Arabidopsis thaliana: one gene and its partners. The protein of the gene in region 3 interacts with the protein of the main gene of each other region in a pairwise test. Each region holds a gene or a part of one and is shown on either strand. Other genes may lie near its edges. The genes, in order: PDLP6, AT5G47070 and AT1G71020.

Region 1 (3,760 bases), on a different chromosome or scaffold from region 3:
ATATTGATCCGTTAATCATAACAATATTTGATGATAATGTTCGATTAATTAGGGATGGGTCATTTCATTTACCTTTACCTCTCTCGCACGATTTTGCCATAAAAGAGAGAAATACGACGAGTAACGTAACTCCAGCAATTAAGCCAACTATGATTGCAAGTGTTTTCTCTATCTCATCGTCATCATTGTTATTACGATTCCCACCTAATTACATCCCAAAAATAACACATTTTTAACAATACAATTATCAAAAATATTATATGCATAAATTGTAAATTCTATGCAAAGAAGATGGAGAAAATAAACGAAAAAAATAAATCTTGAAAATAAAAATCTCACATAACCACATGACTAAGACAATACGTTCGTAACTATTCGATAATAAAATATATATAAATAGTAAATACTGTACAGTTAAGTTTTTACTGCAGTTATTGATTCAGTTACCACTGTTAACGGCTGTTAATTTGAATATCTAATTTTAACAAAATTTAATAAAACGAAAGTTTTAAAAAGATATAAAAATTAATTTAGATATTTTTTGAGAAAATTAAATAATAGAGGTATTAAACAGACAAACTAAAATTAGCCGGAGATTTTTTCGGGTTTTTCCCTTAATTAAAAACTTTAAAATCAAATAAAAATCTTTATAAAAGAAATAAAAAGCAACGGAGCAAAGAAGACATTACCATAGCCGTTGGCTCTAGAGTGACCTCCACGCGCAGAGTAACGCGCGTAGCACTTTGCTAAGTACACGTCACCCCAAGCAGCTCCTCCGCAATCCGTTCTCAGCCGTCCGATCGCTTCCATCAAACAGTCTTGACACTCAGTCGCACTAAGATCTCCGGTGCACTGCGCCACACCTTGCAGTTCCCCCGACACTCCTACTCTGTATGAACCACCGCTACTCGCCGCTAAAGAACCCACCACCGAGTCTCTACGAGTCATCTCGTCCGAGTTATAACCAACCGGTGGTCCACAACGTCGAACCACCACCGTCTTATCCTCAACACCGAGGAACGTCGTGTTGTCGTATTTAACGAAACAGCCTTCGAGCTGCAACGCGCCACCGCTTGCCATGGCGCAGAGACTCCCTAGACGGCTTACTGCTCGCGCGACGCATCTTGCACAATCTCCCGAGCCGGAGGAGAGATCACCGCGACACTGGTACAAACCGTAGACGGAGGAACTGTCGCCGGAGATTCCGTTGGTGGTGAAGTTGTTGTATGTGTAGAGAGAAGCTGAGCTAACGAACGAGGTGAGTAGAGAGTTAACGTTTGACTCGTAAGGCGATCCCGGAAAGTACTTTTCTTGTGAGCAACCACCGTAGATAAAAGTATCGACAGCGGCGGATGAAAACGTTCCGAGAAGTGACACGACGGCGATAAAGAGAACTGTTTTTGTAGCGAACATGACTTTCGACGATTGCTTCTTTTTGTTCTCTCTCTCTCTGTGGTATGATTCGAGAAAGAATGAGAACGTCGCGACTTTTTTTTATGCTTGGTGTTTAACTTTTTTTTTTTTTTAATGATTGGTGCGTTACTATATGATTATGAAACACTTTGATTATATTGTATTTTTATCATCTGTTTATCAGTTATATGGTTTGGTAATCGATATACTATATGTCAAAATTATTTATTTGGTAATCATATATATGAAAGTTGGCTAACTTTCTTCATATGAGTGACACATCATCACACTAATGAGTGTCACATGTTATCCTAAATTAATATTATTAGAAAAATAATAAAACTTGGTGATAAAATTTAAAAGTTTAACATTGCATTGAATCATTCATTAATCTTATTTTTAACAAAATATCTTCACTTAAAAGAAAAAAATATAAAAAATTATGTTAATATATCAAATACTATTTTCATTTTACTTTTCTTATTTTGCTATTTTTTTTAATAGTCAGTATTTGATAATGGTTAGAAACTTTTGGGTATTGCAACTTACCTGGTACTTAACCTTTTTTAATTTAGTAATTTTAACTTAATTTTTCTTATTATTACATTTTTTGGTCTACATGATATTATCATGGTCTTTTTGTACTTTATGATAAATTAGTAACATTAATAATAACATGCATGTTTTTTAAAGTAATGGTCTTTTGAGACGTTAGATATACCAAAAAATTTAATATACGACATTCTCTCCAATATAGCTAAATGCAAATGTAAAGAGAGAAACCTAAAAGTATTAACTTAAAAGACTGTTTAATTTTTGCTTTCTTTTTTTTCTTTCACGTGAAAACTTTTAATGCAAATGAGTAGTTAGTTATACATATGTTATTTATTTTATGTCAATCTAATACTTAGCCATGAGTTTATCATGATGTGATTGGGATATTAGATTAAGAGAGAATACATGAAACAATAAATTGTTTGCTTAGAATCAAATTAGACAACTTTCAAACTAAATAAGTAACATAATTGCATACCATTGTATCATATATTGTTGATGTAAGTAATTCATGATAGTTAAAAAAAGATTAGAATTTTGGGTATAGAGATAAAAAGATTTATACATAAAAAATATAATTGATATGTGAATCAAAAGTGAATCTAACTCTACAAATATAATTACATAAAATAAATATAACTTTATTAACTACATAATAACATATACGGAAAAAACATAAATTAGCAATCAAAATAGTTAAACATAATTATTTTTAAATAATTTTTAAAATAACAACCTATACGTAGTGTGAGTATTCACCTAGTGTAATTTTATTTTTGTTAAAAGTAGTTGGTATATGCGCACATCATGTCATCATCCTACACCGGGAAATTGGGAAATTCAGGACTGCCTAAATAATATCTTAGCTTTGGCCAAGAACCGTTACTATAATATATATAGTCGTAGAGAACCAAATGTAATGGCAAATACATTAGCAAGAGAGGCTCAACAAAAGCAGTATTATTCTACAAAATTTATGCAATCAACATATTTTAAAAATAATTTTATTCTACAATTTTTCATTTTACAAATTTTTATTTGGCAATTTATATTATTATGCTATTATGTAATGTTACCAATTGGAGTTATAGTCTCTTGGGTCTGTTAAATGTATTTCTGTACACACTTTCATTATCTAATGGATAAATTGGCCGACTAAAAAAAATATAATCATGCACTGATTAGTTTTGTTAAGTTAATTTTACACACATCTATGGACAACTCGAGGGCATTTTTGATTTAGGTGATCTTTGTTACATTGCAAGAACAATTTTTTCATAGATTGTAACTATTATCTTTTGATCCTTAAGATTATTTCAAACTATCTAAAGTTAATTTAAACTATGCCAGAAAAGAAAATTGTTAGTATTTTGTTACCAAAAATTTAAAAATTGCTAGAGGTCATTTTTATTTTTCATTATATTTGAATCAAATATCTATTATCAAAATTAGTAGAATCAATCTTATTAATTAGAAATAACTTTTTGCATAATAGATTAGAAATTTTCTAAGTTATAAAATTAATAATATATAAACTCTTTTTTAGTAAGATATTAGCTTAATTAATCTCTTTATTGGCTAAACAAAAAGATTGGAGTAGTTTGTTTTTCATGTCTATTTTTCTTGATTAATTTTATATTTTCCTAATATTGCCTGGTTACTCTCTTTCTCTAAAAGTGGTTGATATCAAAATCTTGTAATAAATTAAAATTTCAATTTTTTAATTTTTAATTACATGCAAAGAGTGTATCTAGCTGTCATATTTACTTAATCAAATCAATTAATTCTACTA
Region 2 (3,760 bases), on a different chromosome or scaffold from region 3:
TTTTTTTTCATAAATTTACATCATCATCCATATTCAACTTTATCATCATCATTAATATTATGTTGTTGTGGTTAACCATCTGAATTATTGACCTACTTTCGTATTAATCAATTTTAATTTTGTACTTATCCTTTATCTTTTAAGTATCATTCCACTTATGTATATATGTTACTAAAAAACATATGGATACTATCAAAAATATATATGTTACTAAAAACTATCCATATTTTTTTAGTAACATATATACACAAAGAGAAAAAAATCAAAAATGATAATATATGCATATATATATATATATATATATATATATATATCTGTGTGTGTGTCTTTCTATGTGATATTTCATTATATAGTACCGTTATTCTCATTATTTTTGTAAACTCCAATTATCATACAATGACTAAATCCACCTTTCTTTTTGTCTACATCATCCTTATTCTAGGTTTTTTTAACCATCTCTAATTCAGTTATAAAATCATGTAGTTTTACTACCATGAAAACTAACTTTGTGTTTGTGTTTTAAATATTACTTTTACAGGATCAATGGTGAATGAGATTCAAGGACAAAACGCAATATGTCAAAAGTTTTTATCGGAAACTGATTGTGGTGCTGGCTCGTGTACCGCGTTGTGCTTGCAGTTATGGAAAGGAATTGGCAAATGTATTAAAACAGATGATCATAAATTATTATGCCTCTGCAAATATGAGTGCATAGTTTGATTTTTTTTGTTCACTTTATTTTGAGATCTATAAATCATCATCAATAAAATAATAATTTTAATCCATAAAATAATCATTGTAGCAAATTATCATCGTACCATATAAAACTACTTAAGATATGTTACAACTTACAAGAAATTGTTTGTTCAAAAAGAAAAATCTCATAAGAATTAGTTACATATATATTATTTAATAATTAACTTTTAGGTATTACATATTTAATAGGTCAGAAAATTTTTAAAACCAAAATCTCTGTATATAAAGTTAAAGATTTAAATCAAATCAAGTACAAGGATGAGTGATTTAAATATTACAAAGTTTAAAACATAAATAAGAGAGACATTCTCCAATACCATAAAATGATAGATAAAGTAAAACGAGATAGATTTCATGAGAGCTTTGAGACAAAAGCTAAAAACATTATGGCGCATGTGAAAGCACGGTTAGTCGAAAGATTTTCTACGAGCGAATCAGGACGACAAGTTGGTCACGGTCAAAAGACGAGGTGACGTTAAAAAGGATTCCATGTCCGAAGTTCTCCTCGGGGCAAAAAGGGCGAGCTGGAATTGCTCATCGGTATGGAGAAGAGTGTTGACGGTTCTCTGCTCGGGTGGGATTAGAGGTAAAAATTGCCATATTTTCGTATTTATTTTATGATATTGTGCAATTTTTCATAATCTATCACATAAAAATGTGGAATATGATAAAATAATAAAATGAAACGAATTTTACGTTTATATTAGACTATGTGCATCGGGGGTTTATTCAACCGTTGAAACTCTTACAATGAGGGTGTTGAAAAAGTAAAAAAAAATTTGTGGATTAACTATAGTTGAAAAGATTCAACATGTTGAACACAAATAAATGGGCGTCACTTGCGACACGTGTCTTCTTTTCACTAGATATTAAATTCTGAAAATTTTTATATTTCACCCTAAATATTTAAGATTAGAACTAATTTATTTTTTTATGAATTTAAAATCAAAATTAATCAAAAAAATTTCTTTATAAAAAGATCCTTGTTTCATTTGATTTGCACATAAAAAAAAGAAGTTTATTTTACTATAACTCTTTTAATTATCTTCACATACATTTTTGTTTAAATTTTTATACATTTAGAAAAATGGATTTCAACAAACATAATTTGTTTGTATTTTATAATTATTTTAACTTAAATTTATTTGATAAGTGTTATTAATATGTAATTTGAAACATAAAAAATATGAGATAAAAATAGTGGGTTAAAATGTTGAATATTATTAAACAAACCATTGTAAATGTTAAAAATTAAACAGATGTTGAATAATTAGCTGGGAAAAAAAATAAAAAATAATATGGAGTGTTAAAAGCAAATAAATAAGAGTGCTTAAAAAACAAACTAATATACATAGTCTTAGGCTGTAAATTCATTTTAAAAATTCCACAATATAAGTTATTTATACCTACAATTATTAATACAGAGTCTAGAAATGTATGAGTCTTTCACACATACTTTTCAACGTGTAATCCGTACGGACGCGATTTCTTCTGTTTTCTTTTGTGTTGAAACACGATTTCTTCTCTTCTTTCTCCTTATCTTTTAAGGAATGGCGTAACGTTTTGTGTCTTTTTCCATCTTAATCTGCTTTCTCGACAAAGAAAAGCAGAGAAAGAGAGACTTGTTATACTAAACTCAATCTCTGGCTTTTAGTTTTGTTGTCTCTCTCCTTCAGTTTCCAGGAAAAAATCTCTTTCTCATTAAGCTGTTATATAGATCTGTGTTCATACTCTTCTTCCACAATCTAACCCAAAAAAAAAAAAACTTTATTTCTCTCTACAAATTTCATTTGTTCCATTTTCTCAATTTTAGAACTTAAGAAACCCAAAAAGCAAATTTTTAGTACATTTTCTGGTTTAACTAAAGTAATTAATTTTTGTGTTTTCCATCAAAATTCCACTGGTTTTCTTTAGAATTTTTTTATCTCTCTTTAAGACATGAACTGTCTGTTCTTGTTCAAATCAAAGAAACCCAGAAAGCAACAGAAAGACAACAACAAGAACAAAAGAAAAGGTAAAGAGTTGTTACAAAACTCAGCTCCAGAACTGACGAATCGGAGTGAAACGTCTTCGTTTAATCTCCAGACACCAAGATCGTTGCCTTCTCCAAGAAGTATCAAAGATTTGTATACAGAGAGAGAACAAAATCTTAGGGTTTTTTCTTACGAAGAACTCAGTAAAGCCACTTATGTGTTTAGCAGAAAGCTTGTGATCGGTGAAGGTGGATTTGGTATTGTTTATAAAGGAAAGATTCTCAGCAATGGAGATTCTTCTGATCCTCCACTTGTCGTTGCCATCAAGAAACTCAATCGACAAGGTTTACAGGTAAAAAGTTAATCTTCTCTCTGCTTTGTTGCTAATATAATCATTAGAAGATAAATTAACCAATTAATTGAAGCTAAGAAGTTGAAATAGAAGATTAGATTGATGCAATTATGAAGCAAAATCAAATTTTGTCACTTGTTTGAAGTAAAGTTGAAGAAATTTCGTAATCTTGATATAAAGATTTAGTGGAATGGTCAAATGGAAAAGTAAGTATGAGTCAATGGATGCATTTATTAAGTCAACTTTGTTGCTTTAGTAATATTCCTTTCTCTGTGTTTGAATGGTGTATTAGGGTCACAAGCAATGGCTAGCAGAGGTTCAGTTTCTTGGAGTAGTGAATCATCCGAACGTTGTGAAGCTCATAGGTTATTGCTCGGAAGACGGCGAGACCGGGATCGAGAGGCTTTTGGTTTATGAGTACATGTCGAATCGAAGTTTAGAAGACCATCTCTTCCCTCGTCGATCACACACATTACCGTGGAAAAAAAGACTCGAGATCATGCTTGGTGCTGCTGAAGGATTGACTTATTTACATGATCTTAAGGTAAAATTTCGAAACCCATTAGAGGAAATCTGGTTTTAGACAGACCCTTTTTATTGTTCTTGATATTTTCGGACAGGCACAATGTTAAACATTAAGTTATATTAAATGTGGTCATAGAGACATGATTAGTAGTTT
Region 3 (3,760 bases):
CGGTCTTCGATTGATTGGCTAGAGAGTTTACAAACCAATGCTCGGATCGCTGACATATCTCCACTTAGATCACGGAAAGACCCATCACTGTTTTTGGTCCTACCGTTCATGTAACCACCTGGTTGCTCAATGTTGTGCTTAGTGCACCACTGAGATATCAGGCTTCTGAGGACATAGTTTGGAGTAAGAGTAAAGTTTTCAAGTTTCTGCTGTGTCTTTGGGCAGCTCAGATTTCCACAGTCTATCCATCTCTGAATGAACGACCTCTCGTATGTCTGCCAACGAAGAGAGAAGATCATTGTTAAGGTTTCAAATCAACAACCATACGTTAGCACTATATAAAGATTTGATTTTTTAAACCAGACCTGTCCTGTGGAAACAATAGCAGGATCCTTCATCAGTTCCAGAGAGATTGGACAAAGAAAGTCCTCTGGAATCGTGAGATTATCCGATTTCTGTGAGTCATCGCTGTTCTCGGTAACTGCTTTCTCTAATCTCTCATCATCACCATCCTTTGATAAAAAGAAGGCCAATGATACTGAAGAGCTCTTCCAAGGAGGGGGTGATTCAAATTTCTTCTCATCTGATAAAGAATGCACTGTCTCTGGAATACTCTCCAACTTTTCAATAACTTTTCTATTACTTGAGGCATCTTTCTCCATTGGCTCAGATAAACCACTCGAGAACTTCTTCGAATTTAACGATCCATATCTCTGCATTGCTCTTCTTAACTGTAATCTTGCTAGTTCCACCTAATCACAAGCAAAAAAAAACCCTTAGAAACACCTCCATGGATAGGAAAACCAAATCTTCATACATTCTACATAATGAACAAACTTTTACCTGTTCACGGACTTCGTCAGAGATATCATATCTATCATATGTCAAATCACCTAATGCTTTCTCCAGCTTCCATGTAACACATTGGAACTGGAATGAGATCCTCTTGGCTGCCCCATCCTTCAATCAAAATCACACATCAAAGTTTAGAGAGCTCCTCATGTATATATTAATAATGCTCTTCACTACACAAATGTCAACAATAGTATCTTCCAATCTAAAAAAACTAAAAACAAATTCTTCCTATAAATTACGTTCCTGCCATGGCGAGACCAAATCTTCGTGAAATCACAAATCCATTTTCAATCGTTGAGAATGGTTTAGAATGCTTACAGAGGACTCGCGAGCTTGGAAACTAGTAGCTGAAGACAAAAGACGCTTCGCGGCTTGAAGTCCCACCACAAGATCAGACCACCAATCACATTCATGAGAATTCAACGAAGAAGAAGCATCAGATTCCGACGGCGGAGAAGAATCCCTGATTTCCTCAATCAAATGCGTCAGGAGACCGACTCGTCGCGCGAGATCGGAACAATCCTTCTTAAACAAACCAAAATTCCCCGGAATCTCATTGATTTCAGCAATAAGACCGATGAGAGAATCGGGAGTGATAGCTCCACCAGCCATTACGCCGTCTCACACGGCGGCTTAAAATTCGAATTTTTGTGACTCGCTCTCTCTCTCTCGCTGGCTCGCTTCTGACTCAGAGATGCGTCTCTATCGCTTTTATGTATCCAACGAAGCCATGTGGCGAAAAAGGATAAGTCGCTGTTACGACACCGTTTTGGTTTTAGTGTTTTTTGTTTTAAACTTTTTATCTAACTCTAAAAATGGTTTTTTCTTTTCTTTTTAGTTTACTGGCTTTATATTTTTAGATAAAAGTTTATGTGATACATTTAAATAATACAATAGAACAAACTAGATAATTGAGAGCGAGATTCACGGTGCAAGTAGAGGTTGAAGAGAAAATGATACAGTTGTCAAAAAAATAATCAATTATTATCATTTATATTAGATCAAAACTGTATAATAGAAATGAACTATACTTTTAAATTCAATAAAAAAATCCACTTTTCTATTTATTGAAGAAAATGGTTTGTTGTGTGCTTAGTTGTAAAGTAGATCTTATATGATTGTATTTTATAGTTGTGTTGAAATTTATGTTGGAGTTATGAAATTTATCTGTATGTATTATTTATGTAATCTTAAATGGTAATAAATAGTCAAATTAGTTATTTTTTCTATTTGAAAAGAAACTAAGATAAAATTTCCAGGCCTTTAGATGCATTGTATTGACATGTGTTTCTAGTATATGATCTGTCTTACCCTAGTGTTTATTAAAAGATGGAAAAAATCTTCTTTGTAATTAACTAAATATAGCTTTACATGTTTTATTTTCCCTTAAAAATAACTTTGTATGTGTAAGAAAATTTAATATCTCTTACAGCAAAAATGTTCTAGAAAAATTATGTCAATTAACATAATTTTGGTGAGTATTATATAGCCTGCAAATGGAACGGTCGAACATGACCCGGTAGATCGAATTTTAACAACATTTTAGATAATTTGAAGCATGTATACAAATTGGGACCTATAATTTTCTTAAAACTGTTTTACCACAGTTTAGTATACTTTTGATTAAAATTTATAAACATGACTTACATATAGTTTGTGACAGTCTTGTATTGAAAAGTTATCTCGGTTTAACAAAAGAAAGGTTCAACCACGACATCCACATCATATCGGCCGACGTCCATGCCCGTGACTTCTGCGTCCTACATAACAACCGATAGCAACTTGAAAAATAGACAACATTATCTTTTAGACATTTTTGGCAAGTTTGACTGGCTGGTTTCATAATTATTTTTGGACATATGCAAAAATAAAAAGATCTACATAAAGAAGAGGGTATTCGTCTGAATCAGATGAAGATTAATAACCTTGAAGTGTTTGATGAGGCATGTGATTTTTGCTTGCACATCCACACACAACTCTCCATTAACCACAATACTCACCGTTATTTCTGAAATTTATGGTGTAGTTGTACTTGCGGAACAATATGAAAGTGAAGGTGAGATCAGAGTTTATACAGTTGTGGAAACAACTTCTTTGATGGTTGTAGATCCCGCAATCGTAGAAACAACCTTAATGATGATTGTAGTTTCGATGATAAATATTGGTCCATTTTCTTAGCAAACAATCTCCTCTTCTATACTTGTCAAACATTCATATTCTTTGGTCATGCAATTTTGTTTAATATTTGATGATGTTTGAATAGCGGTTGTACAAATGTATTTACTTTCTAATTTTTATTTTAAGCATGTATGAAGATACTTTAAACAAATTCATTGTGAGTTTTGTTCAAAATATATGTGAACGTGTTTGTACTAGTTGGTGCATATTTGACCGTATAGTCTCCATGCTTAAGACATCCTTAAATCGATACATTTCATTATTTTATAAGTTAACTAATTTGCTTCCTTTATATCTTTAGTAAGTAATTTTCGTATTTATAGATTCCTTTGTGCGAAACGAGAGTTTGAAATTGCTTTTGAATAAAGAGTAAAGTGTAGTTTGGAGGAAAATGAACATACTTGTCCATTTTAAGAGAGTTAATTAATACTTCCCGTCAATGTGCACCGTTAACATTGCTGTATTAGCTATAATTTCTTACAGCTTGATTGATCAAATAAGCAGCGGTTATCGTCGGTTAGTTATTAACGATCTACTATAATACTAATCACTGAAAACAGAACCGGACATTTAAGAGAATAGTTGTTCAATGACCAGCCGGTCCAATTCAGGATTAACATATTTCAAACATCGTTATACCATCTCTCTAGTGAATATTATAATATGTGCATTTGTAATATAACAAATGTGTACAAACAAATACACCATTTCTCATCGGAATAGAAGA

Evidence for each region.
Region 1: the proteins of AT1G71020 (region 3) and PDLP6 interact in a protein complementation assay, tested with the Arabidopsis thaliana proteins (one large-scale study listed by BioGRID).
Region 2: the proteins of AT1G71020 (region 3) and AT5G47070 interact in a protein complementation assay, tested with the Arabidopsis thaliana proteins (one large-scale study listed by BioGRID).

What each region holds. Positions count from the first base shown.
Region 1 is NC_003071.7:291,084-294,843, forward strand, and holds the start of PDLP6 (plasmodesmata-located protein 6), read right to left. Parts: upstream 1,606-3,760; 5' UTR 1,414-1,605; coding exon 690-1,413; coding exon of another isoform or gene 634-689; exon of another isoform or gene 205-633; coding exon 73-204; coding exon of another isoform or gene 65-72; exon of another isoform or gene 1-64. UniProt on the Arabidopsis thaliana protein: Modulates cell-to-cell trafficking.
Region 2 is NC_003076.8:19,119,463-19,123,222, reverse strand, and holds the start of AT5G47070 (Protein kinase superfamily protein), read left to right. Parts: upstream 1-2,119; 5' UTR 2,120-2,694; coding exon 2,695-3,081; intron 3,082-3,373; coding exon 3,374-3,625; intron 3,626-3,760. Other genes in the region: LCR20 (low-molecular-weight cysteine-rich 20), read left to right, coding at 397-442, 539-720.
Region 3 is NC_003070.9:26,791,639-26,795,398, forward strand, and holds the start of AT1G71020 (ARM repeat superfamily protein), read right to left. Parts: upstream 1,682-3,760; 5' UTR 1,468-1,681; coding exon 1,174-1,467; exon of another isoform or gene 961-1,173; coding exon 844-960; intron 753-843; coding exon 366-752; intron 276-365; coding exon 1-275. Other genes in the region: MYBL2 (MYB-like 2), read right to left, coding at 3,745-3,760. UniProt on the Arabidopsis thaliana protein: Functions as an E3 ubiquitin ligase.